Caenorhabditis elegans: one gene and its partner. The protein of the gene in region 1 purifies or fractionates together with the protein of each later gene. This does not show direct contact. Each region holds a gene or a part of one and is shown in the gene's direction. Other genes may lie near its edges. The genes, in order: ZC262.5 and R07E4.3.

Region 1 (3,116 bases):
GTAACCTTACAATACCACTACAGTACCTTGACATTATCCTCCACCGACTCCTAACCCAATACCTCTTTTTTTCCAGACTTTTCCCAATTTTTCTAGAAAGTTCTGGAACATTCCAGACTTTTCCCAATTTTTCTAGAAAGTTCTGGAACATTCCAGACTTTTCCCAATTTTTCTAGAAAGTTCTGGAACATTCCAGACTTTTCCCAATTTTTCTAGAAAGTTTTGGAACATTCCAGAATTTTCCCAATTTTTCTAGAAAGTTCTGGAACATTCCAGACTTTTCTCAATTTTTCTAGAAAGTTCTGGAACATTCCAGACTTTTCCCAATTTTTCTAGAAAGTTCTGGAACATTCCAGACTTTTCCCAATTTTTCTAGAAAGTTCTGGAACATTCCAGAATTTTCCCTAAATTTGAAAAAGGAGTTCATGAGAGTACTTGTTGCTCGATGCCAAGCCAATCAAGACACCGAGGGAGAAGATTCTCTCAGTGGACCAGCTCAAAAGCAACGAATTCAGTTCTTGGAGAACAATTTGGACAAGTTGACGAAGGTTCACAAGCAGGTTTGTCGTTTTTATTCTCATTTTGATTATCTTAAAACTTGAATTTTCAGCTTGTTCGCGACAATGCCGATTTGCGCGTTGAACTGCCAAAGATGGAAGCTCGTCTTCGTGGTCGTGAAGATCGCATCAAAATATTAGAAACTGCTCTTCGTGATTCGAAGCAACGTAGTCAAGCAGAACGAAAGAAGTATCAACAAGAAGTTGAACGAATCAAGGAAGCTGTTCGACAACGTAACATGCGACGAATGAATGCTCCACAAATTGTGAAGCCAATCCGTCCAGGACAAGTGTATACGTCTCCGTCAGCAGGAATGTCACAAGGAGCTCCAAATGGCTCAAACGGTGTGTTTAGTCAGACATCTACACCTTCAACATCTCGCAATCAGATACCATCAAAAATGACTATTTCACAGTTGATTGCAGAAATTTAAGATTTTTTAAAAAATTCTTTAGTGCTCATGTAATTTTTCACAAGTAATTATACTATGAATTAGAATTAGAGTGAGTGTTTCTTTTTCTTCCTACCGTATTATCAAATTTAACAGTCTTTTGTCCGTCCATTTTTCACTAATCAAAGTTTTTCAGCATAATGTCTCCCAACAACAACATCAACTCATCGTCTTCTTTGATCCAATCAATACACTGAAGACTGACATTCAAATGCTTCTCTATCTCTCTTCTTTTCCCGGCTTTGTGATATACTTTCGATGGGCTTTTCTGTTTATTTTAAAATCTAGTAACTTATACAATTACGCGGCTTCTGGAAGTTTCAACAAAAATATCTTCATTTGGTTGGTTGTGTCTCCCCATTTCGTTCCTTGGCTTCTCGTCTTCCATGTAGAATACAAAACTTCAAAAGCTAAAAGTATTTAAAGCTTCCCTCCACCCCCACCCAAATTGCCTTTTTCCGCCTTTTTGTTCTAATAGTCTGTTTCTATACGATTTTCCTGTTTCAGTTTTACTAATCTGACACGAGGTTTTGTCTGGTTCTTCCCCCCGTCACCCACCAACACTCCTATGATTGTTTTTTGCATGCGTTTGAGTGTCTTTAAAGCTTGCTTGCTAAATCCCCCTATCATTCTTCATAAGAAATCAACTTGTTTCGTTTCTGCACAATTCGGCCCCCAAATCCCCGCACATCCCAATTGCGTAATTCATTTTTTTGTATCTTTTGCTCTTCCAGTAAATAAAATTATTATTTTTTCTGTTATTAAATAAACGTTTTGCTGTTTTTTAAACAAGATTTTACAATAACATACGAGCAAGAATAACCAACAAACGCATGAGCTTAACTGATTAGTGTTCTGGAGTGAGAATATCATTGAAAACTATGAGAAATAAGTTTAATGTAATTAAATATTTATTGATAGTTTTGTTTCCATTTTGGACCAACTAATTATTATTCAGTAACTTTCGAATATTATCAAGTTTCCTGTTGAACTTTGACTGTATAAAGTTTTTATTTTTTATTTTACAGATTTCTCTAGTCTAAAGGTTGTTCTCCATACCTTTCAATTTACTTCCTTTTTCTGAAAATTTTATTATTTTATAGTATAAATTAAGGTTAAATAACTTTCCCCCAAAATCAAAAATGGTCGCCTGGAGAGCTGCTGGACTCAACTACGTCCGTTATTCACAAATCGCCGCACAAGTCGTTCGTCAGTGCACCAAGGTTTGTTGGACCCTTAAATAACAATATATGCCCCTTTAAGTGGTACAGTAACCCGTTCCGTTAATTTTCTGTTTATCATTTTTCAAGTTATAACCTATAGGTTTCAATTAAGTAATATGTTTCTGAAAATTACCGGTAATTAATTACTGGGCTCCTAAAGGTTCACACATTTTTGTCCCACATCAAAGTATGAAAAATCGCAAAAATTATCAAAAATTACAGGGAGGCGCCAACGTGAAGAAGCCCCAAGCCACCTTGAAGACCACTGCTTGGGAGAATGGAAAGATGGTGTCCAAGTCTCAATAGATTCATTCGATAATTGATCATTTCCATTTGAGAAAAAAATAAACAAATAGGTTTCATCAAGTTCGGTGCAATATGCCATTTTCCGCATTTTTTATTGATTTGTGTGCAATAATAAACTCTTAGTTTTGTTTGAAAGCGTTTGAAAAAGTGAGAAAAAATGAGTATTGACCAGAATAATAAAAATCCGACAAAACAAACTCCCGGAACGGGGTCCTGGCACGTGAAAAAGTTTTCAGTTACCGTACCTCGTGTAGGTGCTGGTACGGTGGCTTACAAGTTTCGCTCGTGCTAGAACGCATGGCAGTGTTTAAAAATATTTCAAATGAAGAAGAAGTACAGTTGTTAAATTAATACAGAACTTCAGCCTCCATAAAAAATCGCGCCGAGTCCTGGAAAATGATTCATGCACCATTAAACTCTAAATTTAATGTAGTTGAATAATACAAATGACAAATGACAATATTTTCATTCGATCAAAGTTCACTTAGTCGATAAAAACGAAGCAGGGAGACGACGGACACCTGAAATAATACATTAAAAACTAGATATTCCAATTTTAAGTGTAACCTTCAACTTTC
Region 2 (3,049 bases), on another chromosome or scaffold:
CGGAATGATTTTCACAGTTTGCGGGATAACGGGAACCATATCTGGAGACGCTGGACAATCCATCGGAGGACTTGCTGGAGAGTCATCTTCAGGTGCGGCAGCGGATTGAAGTTTGTCCTTCTCTTCTTCCAGTTTTTTAACAGCATGTTCTTCAAGTTTTGCTTTAAGCGTTTCTTCATCATAATAAGTCTTGTCATCTTTGTCAAATTCGCGGAGTCGAAGAATAACTGGTCTGCGTAACCCAGTGTAGCGCTCCGTTGCACATGCAACTAGGAACAATGGATCTGGTGTCCCATCTGCTGAGGCTTTTCCGTCTTCATTCTCTTTGGTTTCGGCTTCTTTGTCGTTTTTCACTTCAGAAAGTAGATCGCCATTTTTGGCGTCTTTTCCTTTCTTTGCATTTGAAGGTTCGAGGGTTTGCAATCTTCGCTTTCTCCCTCCTTTAGTCAAATTTGTTTTTTCATTTTTGACATTTTCGGCTGTAATTGGACCAGACTCTCCGTCTCCTTCGTAGCCGTTTTCATTGTTGGGAACAAGGTTTGGAAATTTTTTTTTCGGTGCTCGAGGTTTCACTGGAACAACTGGCGCAGTTGTTTCAGACTTCATGTCGTCAATTTCCTTTTTGATATCTTCATTGGATTTTTCAAGGCTTGTATCAGAACTCCGATCGTTTTCATCTTCTTTTTCCAGGAGTGCTACAGGCTTATCACCAATGATCTCTTTCAAAACACAATATGCGACTGCATTATTCACTTTCGAACCTGGAAATAGGACAGGTTAAATAATTAAAACATTTGCATATTACAGTAGTTACCTTTTTTGTCATAGCACTTGTCAATTGGAAGAAGGAAACTTCTCGTCAAAACTGAAATCGTTTCCAGTGGCTGATATGTTGATGTGCCAACAATGTCAATTTTGGTAAGTTCGTAGGGCACATTTTTTCTCACAGTACAAGGTGCAAGTTCTACTCCAAAAGAAGTCCCGAAATTGACCGTTGTGACGTAGTTCTCGGTAATCTTCTTGTGAATTGTCGCAGCTAGTTTTTTTGAAGTTCCGTGTTCAACCAGATGAACATCGCTTTTGAGTCGTTCAGAAATATTTAGTTTGATTCCAGAAAAATCGAGAAACGTCATCTTTTTGTGGTATTTGTGGAACATTTTGAGAATCTGAATTTATGATTGTTTTTTTTTTATTTCTTATTTAAAGGTAAAGTTTTATGGTGTTACAATGACTGAATATAATTTTGAAACTTTTCAAAACATTTTGGAAATTAATATTTTTGGCCAAAAAGCGGTGACAACCGAGCTTGTGCCACTCTTCGAGAAATGAAACACAAATCCCTACAATGTTGGAATATAAATATTTTCAACATGAATAACATAAAAAAGGAAATTATTATTTTTCATCGATAACTTCCAAAACAGACTGGTGAAAGCTTACTTTTCATCGCTTTTTTGAAGTTTTCCGAACACTGCCGAAATTTTTTTTAAATGATATTTAGTTATTTCAACACCAAAAGAGTGATTTTTCACAATTTCCTCTCTGGCGTTACTCCACCTTTAATGTGGTGACAACTTACTTTTTCATTAACAATAGTGGATACAATGAAAAATAACGCATTTTCATCCTCATCGGCGTCCAACGCAGTTTTCCAAAGCGAAAGAAAATCATTCTGATCTGATGGCTCAAAAATCATACTTTTCGAATCCTCAAACATCTTCAGTGCTTTTCCTTCTTCCAGTTCAATGTAATTATCACCAATGTGCTGAAAAAAGTGTAAACTTTATAAACTATTGCTTCAAAAACTCACAATATGAACTCTATCGATATAGGTCGGCTGATGATCTCCTTTTTTGCAAATTTCACGCAGAAAAATGTACGCATTCTCCATTGGTGTCGCATCACAATCGATAATTGCATGCATTTTTATACTCGCGTCGACTAAAAAGTGAATTTGGTTGGGAAACGGCATTCCTGAAAGAACAATATTCAATTTCTAAAATAGCATTTAAAAAGTAAAGAAATAAAAACCACACTTTGCAAAAAAATCTAAAAATTGGATAATAAATGAGGAAACTTAACGTATAACGACAGAGGCACCCTCCAAGGTGCACACATTTATACGGCCGGGTCTCGCAGCGTGTTCTCAATGGAGCGTCCTTGCACACCAACCAACTGAGGCGCTCGTCGCAACTGCTGTATACTTTTTCCATTGAAATTTACTTTAACTTCTTAATTTGTTTATTATTTCAGATAAAAATGAGGCCTTCAGCCGTTGCAATGGGAAAACATTTTGGAAATTTGGGAAAAATGTATGGAGAGCATAGATTTGCATTGGCTCCAAACGAACAAAAAGCTTATAAAGGATTCTTCGATCAGGCATTTGTGAGAACCTTCAAAACCTACGTTTGGGATCAATGGTACTACTACATTCCACAAACTATTGGTGCATATCTTCTCTACGATTGGGCCAAGAAGACAAATGTTGCTGCAAACCGCAAAAATCCAGCTGATTTTGCCAACGACGAATAACTTGTGGAAGAAGTTGGATTAGTTATTTCAATGTATTAATTGAAATCAACGTTGGAATTTTTTCTCAAATAAAATGTATTACTAGAATCACAATGTGTTTTTGTACACAAGCATATCAAAATATGATTTACTTTAAAACTGCAGTACAAGAAAAAAAGCTAATTATTTTGTCAGCTGATAATGTTTTCATACGTAAAAAATCAGGCGGGAGAACTGCCAAAGTTAAGCAAGGAAATACCAGACTAAAGGATCAAATGCGGTATTCTAATGTTTGATATAGTCAAATCAAACATTGCAAACATGCAAGATAGACTATTATTAGTATGTGTACGCATTAAAACAGTATAATCGGCAAGAACCTCTAATAATTCTTTCAAAAACGTTTGTAGTAGAATAATTAAACACTTGAATACATTTTAGATTTTTCAAAAACTTCAGTCAAAATTGTGGCAAGTTGCCAAATTTTCCGAAACAAAATTAGTAAACCGTAGGACGACTTCAAAAACAATTATATAAA

Evidence for each region.
Region 2: the proteins of ZC262.5 (region 1) and R07E4.3 fractionate together in Caenorhabditis elegans (co-fractionation; one large-scale study listed by BioGRID). This does not show direct contact.

What each region holds. Positions count from the first base shown.
Region 1 is NC_003281.10:8,341,646-8,344,761, reverse strand, and holds ZC262.5 (Putative ATP synthase subunit epsilon, mitochondrial), read left to right. Parts: upstream 1-2,151; coding exon 2,152-2,232; intron 2,233-2,454; coding exon 2,455-2,538; downstream 2,539-3,116. Other genes in the region: ZC262.7 (Kinesin motor domain-containing protein), read left to right, coding at 426-560, 611-991. UniProt on the Caenorhabditis elegans protein: Mitochondrial membrane ATP synthase (F(1)F(0) ATP synthase or Complex V) produces ATP from ADP in the presence of a proton gradient across the membrane which is generated by electron transport complexes of the respiratory chain.
Region 2 is NC_003284.9:5,951,199-5,954,247, forward strand, and holds R07E4.3 (Cytochrome b-c1 complex subunit 8), read left to right. Parts: upstream 1-2,259; coding exon 2,260-2,532; downstream 2,533-3,049. Other genes in the region: R07E4.5 (VWFA domain-containing protein), read right to left, coding at 1-761, 815-1,166, 1,580-1,765, 1,811-1,972.